Saccharomyces cerevisiae S288C: one gene and its partner. Changing the gene in region 2 together with the main gene of any one other region gives a genetic interaction. Each region holds a gene or a part of one and is shown on either strand. Other genes may lie near its edges.

Region 1 (4,033 bases), on a different chromosome or scaffold from region 2:
ATTCAGAGCTGGTCTATGGCACCTTCGGAGTTGCTTATTATCGGTAACCATAAGTATGTTTTCCATACATTGCGGATGCCTACGTTTTGTTTGCATTATGATATCTTTCTTACATTTATTTAAACAGCCATGCACTTTCCATTCATCCGTTAAAATATAAAAAATCTTATAGATTTCTCGAACATACTAATTGGCCCTTATCGTTTTCCATTTTGGTATGATGTTTCTATGGTTTGTATGTGGTTAATTTACGCCTGATCACCTTATATCTTCCGCTAAACTCTCTACTAAACATTAGAATAACGTATATGAAATTTTCAAAAAATCGTTGTGCATAATATCACTCTACACGTTACCTTTTTAGTGTAATTTTCGTTCATTTCGAATTGAAAAATGAATCTGAGATACATTTTCAATTTTCAAAATGTACGGATTTAAAAGTACAGGAAGACATTTACTCTAGAAAGATATACATAGTGATAGATATTTTATATGTGCAATTAGATTCTCTTCATTATACACACACTCTCAACGTGGTGCGTTTGTGGAAAGAAATCAAATCCTCTTATGCTTTCAATCTGGTGGGCGGAACCGTTTTCTGTTTCTTTGAGGAAGTACTCGACATCACGTGCCTGGGAATGGACATTACACGATATGTAAATAATCTTGGCTGGATTATATGCGGCTAATTGCTTTAGGAATAATTCGTCACAGCCCTTGCGTGGTGGATCCAAGATAACGGAAGTGTTTTCACTTGGAGTATCAATAGACTCAAAGAGTTTCTCAGCCTTTCCAACGATGAATCTACAGTTTTCAACACCATTTGCCTTTGCATTTTTTTCTGCAAAAGAGACACTGTCAGCGGAAATTTCTACACCAATCACTTTATCTACGCCCTTGGAGCTGCATATACTGAAAAGACCTGATCCACAATAAGCATCTACTAGAAACTTTGTTTTATTATCATCACCTTTAGCGGGAGCTTGCAAGTTATCACGGACATACTTGGTCACTATTGGCAGGATAGAGTTATTATTTTGAAAAAACTCACCCGCACTAAAATTAAAAGTATATCCATCAACATATTCAGTGACAATTTGTCTAGGATTGGTAACGCAAGTTTTAGCCAGCCTGACATTGTTCTTTTTGTCTTCGACTTCGACATAACTTATATCACCATTTTCATCCCTAGAGGCTTCTTCGGTTAACTGTTCTAAAGTTGGTTTGGAAGGGTCTAAAATAGTGGTATTCTCTCTCAGTAAAATAGTCGCGCCTTTTTTGTAGTTTTTAAACTCTTGCTCAAACTTTCTTCTTTCATTAGTCAATCCTTTGTTGAGAACTTCAGTTGCAAGCACACATTCATCGATATCTAATATCGAACCATGTCCGCCGATATCCAAAGTATCTTTTCTCCATTGAGGTCTACCCTTTTGACCAAATCCTAAAGGAGGCCTTACTGATAGTTCCTTTTGTTTTCTTTTTGGCATATCGAAATGAGGCGTAATTTTGGTCCTGTAGCCAAATTGTAAAGGGGAAGCTACGGTGGTGTCAAATGGGGGTAAAAGTTTTTCAGCAACTAACCTTGGTGCGAAGAACTTGTAGGCATTCATAATTGTTTTTCTTTTCAATTCTAGTTGGTCATCGTAAGTTAAGAACTCTAATTGACTTCCTGAAGATTTCCCGAAATATTTATCCCTAATTAAATCATCTCTTCTCATTGGAGATTTTTCCACTACGTCTAATAAATCACTCTCGACATAGTAAGGGTGGGTCTTAAAGACTTTGATATTAACTACATCACCGGGCAGGCCAAACGGTATGATAACAACTTGCTTCTTTTCTGTTTCAACAGGATTATCGATCAAAGCCAACCCGTTGCCATTGGAAGTAATTTCTAAGACCTTGACATTTTTTACCTCTCGGTGATATTGTAAGACGATAGGTCCATCTGTTGAGGACTTATCATTTAGAATTGAAGTAACATCGTTCAGAACCTGCTCCCTGGACAAATTTTGAGATTTTAACAAATCGTTCACTTCAAATTCTAGGACACCCATCGGAGAAGTTGTTTCAACCTTTTTGGCCTTGTACTTTCTCAACTTTGGCTTCTTAGTCCGGCGGTTACCAGAATCTGTCAAAGGAGACGAAAGCCTTTTGTTGTCAACGGTATGTTTCATTGTTGGTGGTACCATTTCAGTACTTCCAGTCATGGTGCTGATTAGTTTATAATTATGCTTCTTGACAAAGTTTCTGCAAGCGAAAAACCTAGCTTTAAATATAGACTTCTGTACGGTCCAAAAGCAACGCATGCATGTGATAATACTCCAGCGTTTTATCGATGAGATGAGATGAGCTTTATATTTAACCTTATTGTCTGAATTTTCGAAGAAAAAAAAAGAAAATTCAAACTGTTCGTACATAATGACTTTGTCCTAAACTATTCCTCTAAAATAAAATGACAGATTTGTACTTTTATGTCACAGAAGCTTTTATTAAGTATTTAATGTAATTAGGCTAGATTAATATCGAATTAGTACTTTATGACATCGAATTAAAATGAATTATTATGATAAAATTGGGATAAATTCGAATATATTGGAGCGGTATATCACACCAGATTCAGAAAAATGGAAGTTAAATTAAATCAGGTTCTAATTGTTTCGTCTTGATAAATAAGATAGCGGAAGATAGTAAAATGTGTGTATTTTTTCTTGCCACTTTTCAAATGTTGTAAGTGCGTACAGAATGGGCAACAGAATAATCTTCATCATTATTCTTACATTATAATACACTTGTTTTTTCTTAATCTTTTCGTTCCGGAAATAGAGACGCTGGTATCTCCAGTAGAAGAATCGATATCTGATCTGGTGGTATTTCTTTTAAAGGGATTTTTGATTGTATGTGTAGGCTCTCTGGGAGCATATAATGAATCGGAAAGTAACGTGTGTATGGCAGTTTCAAATACTTCATCGATATTTTCTTTCAATCGTGCTGAGCATTGAATATGTGCAAATGCCCCCAGACGCTTGGCCAAGGATTCTGCTGAACTTGGTTCCACCAGATCTGAAAGGTTATCAGCTTCATATAGATCTGATTTAAGGCCGACTAGCATGATTGGAGTGGAAGGACAAAAATGCTTAACCTCTGGGAACCAGAGATCTTCCACATTTTTAAGCGATGTCTTACTACCAACAGAATAGCACACCATCAGCACATCTGCATTCGTATATGAAAGCGGTCTAAGTCTACTATACTCTTCTTGGCCGGCAGTGTCCCATAATGCCAATTCTATAATTTGACCGTTGGGTCCTTCTATGTTTGTGACATAATTTTCGAAAATAGTAGGAATATAATCAGTCGGAAATGTTCCTTGGACATAAGATATCAGCAGGCACGTCTTCCCTACAGCGCCATCTCCCACAACAACAATCTTTAGGTGATAATCTGGCAGTTTGTTTGTACGTTTCATCTGCTCATAACTAGGAATGGTAGAAAGGCTTCTAGCGAATGGAGTAGGCAATCTGGGAAGATTCTTTTCATCTAAAGTGCCAGGTGATTCAGGAAGATTGCTACTTGAGGGCGATCCCTGCGAAACTATGTTACTTTCGTTCCCACAATTGCCACCTTTTCGCTTAAATAATAGTGTATTCATGAAAAAGCGTTACTATTGGAGATTTTTGGACCTATTTGACTTAAGTTTGCTGTAACTTTTGAGGGATGCTTATCATGTCTTTTGTCGTCTTAACGTAAGGCTATAACTACTTAATCAGATCATCCCGAATTGATGCGCGGAAGGTCGCATTGTACGGATTCTAATAAATAAGCTAATGAAAGGTAAACAAACATTACATATAAAAATTAACAGAAAGCATAGAACATAGAAGGGCAATAATACTCGTTCAGAGCTTAAATTGGAAAGTACGTCAAAACGTTTTTTAGGCAATGTGCAAGAATGAGGCAAGACTTGCTAATGAGCTGATAGAATTTGTTGCAGCTACTGTAACGGGTATAAAGAATTCTCCCAAAGAGAATG
Region 2 (7,213 bases):
AGCTGCCGCATTATGGCTGCAACTTCGGAAGCGTCATTGGATGATGAAGTAAGGATGCCGGAACTTAGTAGTTTTTGTAAAATAGTAGAGTTAGAGGTGATAGGGAAGGGAAGAGTAAAATCTTTACCAGAATACACCTTCACTGTCATTAGTCCGGATTCCGAACTCGGTCCCTGCGTCTCAGTAGACGACTGACTAGCTTTCCTTTCGGAAGCCTTAGAATTGTCATTTCCTATCCCCGATGGATTCTTGAAGGATGCATCATTACGTAATTTTGGAGAACTTAAGGAACTTGGGAGAGTCTCATTTGTATTGATCTTTCTTATATGGTGTTCGTGTTCATGATTATGATTCTTCGGGCTACCATCGTGATGTTTTTCTCCATGGTGGAAATGAAACAGGCCATTACCCCACGATTTTTCATTTTCATCTTCACTACTCCCATCATCTTCTTTGGACCTTCCTAACTTAAACTTGGATATTCGCCAGGAATGCATGTTACTATATGTATATTTGTATACGCGATAATTTGACCCAGTTGAACAATTCTGGTTTAGGAGCACTTTGGCTGAATTTTATCATTTTATTTATAAATCTAAGGATGACGGCCATTTTACAGATTTCTCGAGGGAAATATAATAAAAAACTCGGGGTAGGTAATCTGAATTCGGGGATACGCTAATTTGGGAAAAATTCGTGAATTAGATATAATTAGAAACAGCACTTATGAAGAAGATACTGCGATTAACCAAAATATTCTCCTCCTTATGAAAAAAAAAAAAAAAAGACTCAGAAACCTATGCAATCGTTTGCTAATATGTCGAAATATGGATCTATTAAGTATATAAAGTATGTGTTCAAAAAATTGAAATTTTCTTCTTTACCGTTAATATTCATTGAAAAAGGTGAAAATCATTAAGCCATTAGTAAATCATTCGTTTTAAGTACGAACCGTTGGTTCTTCAGTTCCTAAAACTTGTTTAAAGTTCAAGAACTTGATGACCGAGTTAATAATTGGCTTCAAGTATTCTTCAGCTGTCTTTTGGTATTGTGATTTATCATCGCAGTATTTTTCAATGTACAATCTAATGGTAGCACCTGAAGAACCTGTACCTGACAATCTTAGAACGAATCTTGCACCATTGGAAAGCTTGACATATAAACCTTGATGGTCAGAAACAGAACCGTCCAAATCTGTGTATGAAAAATCACCACAATCGGTGACCTTAAGAGACTCATCGGCTGGGAAGGCGGAATTAACAACACCCGATTTGGTAACATATGCTCTCAATTGATCGACAATCTTGTTAGCTTTTTCTGTTTCAACTTTTTCAAAATCATAACGAGTGAAGAAAGTACGGCCGTACTTTGCCCAGAATTCATTCTGTATCGTCTTAATAGAAGCTTCGTTCTCCGGATGATGCTTGTTGTAAATGGCCAAGATGTTCAACCACGCCATAATGGCCCAAACACCGTCCTTTTCCCTTACGTGGTTGGAACCAGTACCAAACGATTCTTCACCACAAATAGATAATTTTTTAGCGTCGAACAAAGCACAGAAAAATTTCCAGCCAGTTGGGACCTCATAACAGTTTAGACCATGGGCCTTGGCAACACGGTCTATGGCTCCTGAGGTAGGGAATGAACGGGCCAGACCATATATACCTTGCTTGGCGAAATATGGGATTTCAGCTGCATATTCGGCAATAATTGCGACGGAGTCACCTGGAGAAACGAAAGATGGGCCGTAACCGTAAATCATATTTCTATCACCATCACCATCGGATGCAGCACCAAACTCAATCTTTTCACGATCTACTCTTTTCACTAACGAACTGGCATAAGTTAAGTTTGGATCTGGATGCATACCACCAAAATCCGGAGAAGGATGCCAGTTTTGTAAAACCTCATCCGCCGGTAAACCAAATTCATCAACGAAAATAGCCTTACCGTATGGTCCAGTTACACCGTTCATACTGTCAAACAGTAACTTCCAATTCTTAGTAGAACGTTGATTATCGATGAATTTCTTGATTAAGTCGAAATCGAAGATTTCCTTCAAGAAGTTGACATAATCTTTTGTAATATCGATAATGTCAACGAGTAATGGACCGTATTTCTTGTTCTTGCCTATCGTACCCAAGTCTAGTTCTGGGAAGTCTTTGATAATCTTATAGCTGGTAAGCTTTTTGGAAATCTCCCAAATAGCATTTGTGACGGATTCAGGAGCAGGACCCCCATTGGATAAGTTATACTTAATACCCATGTCATTTTCTGGACCACCTGGATTATGTGAGGCGGTTAAGATAATACCACCAGTACATTTTTCCTCGTAGGTTCTCATGATGTGAGAAGCGGCTGGCGTAGACAGAAGACCATGCTGGCCAATAACTAACTTTTTAATACCGTTGGCAGCACCGATAGCGGCAATCTTATGAAGAATGACATCATTGTAGTAACGCCCATCACCACCGACAACAAGAGTGGCACCTTTAGAACCCTCTGGAATAGCTTCCATGATCGATTGAATGAAATTTTCTGTGTAGTTAGGTTCGTCTTTAAACACCTTTGTCTTCTTACGCAAACCAGAGGTACCAGGCTTTTGGTCTTCATATGGTTTGGTGGGAACCGTTTCAATTTGAAATGACATGTTATGTTAACTTTTGTTACTTTTTTTACTGAGAAAGATTGGTTGATCTTCTTCTTATTATCCTATTGTTCAAGCAACGCTGAAGAAAGACATGGAACACTATCTTCGAAAATGAAACAATATTAACGGTACCTTTTTATATTTCCCACATTGTTCGGGCGGCAGTCATCCAGATTCTGAAAGAATCAACTATTTCTTTTACACTTTTCAACCCCTGTTTGTTCCTGGAACTGCACATAACAAAAGTATAACGTCCCCTTTCACGTAAGTTCCCCACGAAAAAAGTAGTGCGCGACACCACCCCTTTTCGTGAGCTCCGCGCTTCTCTTCACCGAGCCTAAGTTGGGCCTCTCCCCCCTAGAAAGAACAAGTTGGCCCTGTTGTCCTTAGCTCGCAAGCTCAGGGGCAGCAGCGTGTGTTGAGATTAGAGAACCGCTCGACCTCAACGGATGATAGTATGATTTTAGTACATACAGGGAACGTCCTCTACCCACGTTTTATTGTTGTTGCATTTACTTTTGAACAGCGACAGGGGGGAAGGTGTAAAGGAGGAAAAGCAACCTGCATGGCTAGTGTTCAAAGTTACAAGGTAACAATGCAAATCAGTAGTATGACAATTATTTACCCGCTATTTATTTTTTTTTCTCTTTAACTGTGGTGACGAAAACATAACTCAAAGGATGTTAGACCTTTTTTAATTATTGCTATTGTTTGGACTTCCCCTACTGTGTTGTTCACCGCGCTTCAATAGCGTTTCTAGGTCCGGGATCTTTTCCCTCTCAAGCTCAGTTTTTAGTTCGGAGTCGAGTTTTAATTTGTCTACTTTCTTGATGCCGAGCACTTCAACCAATTTTGTGCTATCAAATTTCTTGTGCGTGTAAGGACTTATTTTGTTTTTCAATGAGTCAGGAAGCTCTGGGATTTCAAATTCCCTGGAATCATTGATCATCAGTTGGTGAATCCATTCCAGTAGCACCTGTTGTTGCCTGTAGACAAAAACCGTGGGTATTCTAAGAGGATCCTTTTTGTTTTCCTCTTGGTCTTTATTTAAAGAGGGAAGTGGGAGAGTGGTGTCTGTTGTTACTTCGCCTATGGGTTGATAGTAGTTGCCTAACGGAATCTCTGGTAGCTCATCTGTATCCATTGAATCTACAAATTGTTCCATAAGCTCATCGATTTGATGCCCGTCTGTTTCCTTTTTCAGCGGTACCCCGGATGTAGTTGTTCGATCCAGAAGTTTTGGAAAATCAGTTACCCTCTCGTCTTCCGCGAATGGTAATCTACACAAGGTAAGGCTCTTAACAAACTTCTTCTCGGAATTAATGTTACTGTGCTCAATTAGAACGGGACACAATGCACACATATTCACTTCACTGTCTTTCTTGCTCACATATCTTGCAACAGCAATTTTTCTATTTTCTAGCATAACATCCACTAGAGCACTGAAAGCCATTAAGTCAGATTGACAGCCAAGTCTTGTGTCGGCGGTAATGAAGGAGGATTCCGACGTCAAAAAGTACCTTGGAAGAGCTTCTCTATTCAAAAATCCTCTTAAATCCAAGCCTGGAAAAGATTCATATACAGTTTGATCGACTAGAACGGACGGTAGCACTACGTAGTCTGCACCATAACGGTATGCCTTCGTTACAGAGTCTTTGGAGATGGTCACGGGAATGTATGACGATCCAGACTGGTCATCTTCACTGACATTTTTCTTATTTCCTTCGTTGTGAATTTCATATTCGATTATGGATTTGACCCCCACATACCTTTCTTTCTTCTGGGAGTCTTCCACCTCAACAGCGGTTTTCCTATTTAAGCCTGAAACTGCTTTCGTAGCAGGAAAAGCCTCTACCTTGATACATAAGCAATTTTCATCTTGCATGCTGCCGCTAGGATTCGATGTTTGTGTTGATAATATATCTGCCCCTAACCTAAGCTCGCCTGAGAATACTCTTACTGGCTTAACGACAGATGTTGCTGGGGAAGTGATTTCAACAAGAAGTTCATTCATATTGTAGATTCTTGAATTCGGTATCGCTTCGACCAACTTTAACCAGTTCGATTTTTTCCTCTCCTCTTGAGTGTCTTTACCGCAATCAATCAAAATGATTCTTGTGCTTAATTCTTCCGTTAGCAGGTCTATTTCTTCATCAGTAATATCCAGATCATCTAAATTGTCTGTAAATACAACAATTTGTTTTAGAATTTTTCTTGCTTGAAATTGTTGTTTAATATCTAATGAGACGACCAACAGACATTGAATCATTGATTGTAAGCCTTCATTCGAACTATCATGACTGTGCTGATCACAATATTGTTTCAGGCGTTTTATAAACCCAATGGTGGCCGTCGTGGTAACAGGAGCCAAAAAGGATTGTATTTGGAACACATTTGGTATTTCCTGGGAATTCTCAGATACGGGACAATTAGCGAGATAACAGCTTATCCAATCTGTTTTTCTACTTTTTTTAGATTTGTTTAATAGAGTGTACTCTAGATATGCCATAGATTTGGAAACATTATTATTTTTCATCATTGATGGTGAAACATCCACGATGAAAGTTGTTGACTCACTTGACATTATTATGGTGTGAGATATATTATTTGTGCATATGTCCTGCACTCTCGTTAATTAGGTTTTCTTCTCTTGATGATGCCCTTTTTTTTTATTCATTTTTTTGCATGACAACAAATGCCCTGACGGACATGCGGTAATCTAGTTGAAAAAATAGTCAAATTGTGTCGACACTGTAAAAAGGTACTTCCGCTAATAGACTACAAACATTACTCCAAGACCAGAAACAGAAATACGTTACAATAGTGTTGTCGAATCCTGGCAATGGTAAATTGTTTTTAACGCCCTCCAACTGCTAATCTTTGGTTGACGGTACATTCATCTATTATAAGAACTAAATATATAGATTAACTAGAAAAGGCCAGATGTCTTAAGTGTATATATTTTGAATGAGAATTATGTATGCAGCATATTTACTTGAATCTTCAAAAAAAGAAGCCCTGTAGGGGGCTCGAACCCCTAACCTTATGATTAAGAGTCATACGCGCTACCGATTGCGCCAACAAGGCTACTTATTGTTATTTACCGTCAGCTTGTATTCTTATATGTTGAGCTGGTTTTTTATCTCAGCTTTTACTTTCTCAAAGTTAATAAAACTATTCTTCTAGAACTTTTTTTCTGGATTTCGGTTGCTGAACTAGTTCAACAAAAATATTTATTTTAAAATTAAACTGGTTCAAGGTCTCATAGTCGATCATTTCCAATCAATCAAAGCAACCCACAAATCCTAGGCTGAATCATGATATCGATGGAAGCAATCAACAATTTTATCAAGACCGCACCAAAGCACGACTATCTGACAGGCGGAGTTCATCATTCTGGTAATGTAGACGTGTTACAATTAAGCGGCAATAAAGAAGATGGTAGTTTAGTATGGAACCATACTTTTGTTGATGTAGACAACAATGTGGTAGCTAAGTTTGAAGACGCTCTCGAAAAACTTGAAAGTTTGCACCGGCGCTCATCCTCATCCACAGGCAATGAAGAACACGCTAACGTTTAACCGAGGGGAGTCACTTCATAATGATGTGAGAAATAAGTGAATATTGTAATAATTGTTGGGACTCCATTGTCAACAAAAGCTATAATGTAGGTATACAGTATATACTAGAAGTTCTCCTCGAGGATCTTGGAATCCACAAAAGGGAGTCGATAAATCTATATAATAAAAATTACTTTATCTTCTTTCGTTTTATACGTTGTCGTTTATTATCCTATTACGTTATCAATCTTCGCATTTCAGCTTTCATTAGATTTGATGACTGTTTCTCAAACTTTATGTCATTTTCTTACACCGCATATGATTATATACTAGAAACATGAATACTACTAAATAGATGATAAATGGAGTTTCATTGCAATGGTGATAATGATTGTGATTTTATTTGTTGGAATAACAATCAACTATCATCCATTCACTGGTATCAATATTACTGGTATATTATCTTATATGGTGTAGGAAGATGGCATAATATTGAGAAACGGCTATCGGATGTGGTAAAAGCTAAAATGCGAAGATTGATAATGTAACAGGATAGTGAACGACAACGCATAAAATGGAAAAAGAGGTAATATCGTTATTATGTAAAATTATTTGTGTCCTTTGTGGACTCTAAGATCCTTGGAAATTTAAATGACCGGAGAATGAGGTCGCTATAATAGTTTCTATACTCATGGAAAATGCAACCGATAAACCATTATAAATCTTCGCGGTTATCTGGCATTGTTATTAACCAAAAAAATGCCGGCCTATTACAAGCTACTGTTCAATAAATATTGTTGTAATGAAGACGGTCCAACTGTACAAATACAGCAAACTGTCATATATAAGGAGTCTTATGTGACAGCACTTGCGTTATTGTCAGCCGGAGTATGTCTTTGTCGCATTCTGGGCTTTTTACTTTCTGCTCAGAAGGAAGTACGAACAAGAAAAAAAAATCACCAATGCTTCCCTTTTCAGTATTAGTTTCATATTTGTTTACGTT

Evidence for each region. Genes that interact genetically often act in the same process or in processes that back each other up.
Region 1: mutations in YKU80 (region 2) and TRM2 impair growth when combined (synthetic growth defect), as found in Saccharomyces cerevisiae (2 studies listed by BioGRID, with this or other methods).

What each region holds. Positions count from the first base shown.
Region 1 is NC_001143.9:547,835-551,867, reverse strand, and holds TRM2 (tRNA (uracil(54)-C(5))-methyltransferase), read right to left. Parts: upstream 2,421-4,033; coding exon 501-2,420; downstream 1-500. Other genes in the region: 40S ribosomal protein eS21 RPS21A, read right to left, coding at 188-211; Rho family GTPase RHO4, read right to left, coding at 2,777-3,652; DYN1 (dynein heavy chain), read left to right, coding at 3,943-4,033. UniProt on the Saccharomyces cerevisiae protein: Catalyzes the formation of 5-methyl-uridine at position 54 (m5U54) in all tRNA. May also have a role in tRNA stabilization or maturation.
Region 2 is NC_001145.3:474,957-482,169, forward strand, and holds YKU80 (ATP-dependent DNA helicase YKU80), read right to left. Parts: upstream 5,235-7,213; coding exon 3,345-5,234; downstream 1-3,344. Other genes in the region: putative protein kinase YPK2, read right to left, coding at 1-497; phosphoglucomutase PGM2, read right to left, coding at 941-2,650; YMR105W-A (uncharacterized protein), read left to right, coding at 3,108-3,302; YMR106W-A (uncharacterized protein), read left to right, coding at 5,968-6,231. UniProt on the Saccharomyces cerevisiae protein: Single-stranded DNA-dependent ATP-dependent helicase. Involved in non-homologous end joining (NHEJ) DNA double strand break repair. DNA-binding is sequence-independent but has a high affinity to nicks in double-stranded DNA and to the ends of duplex DNA.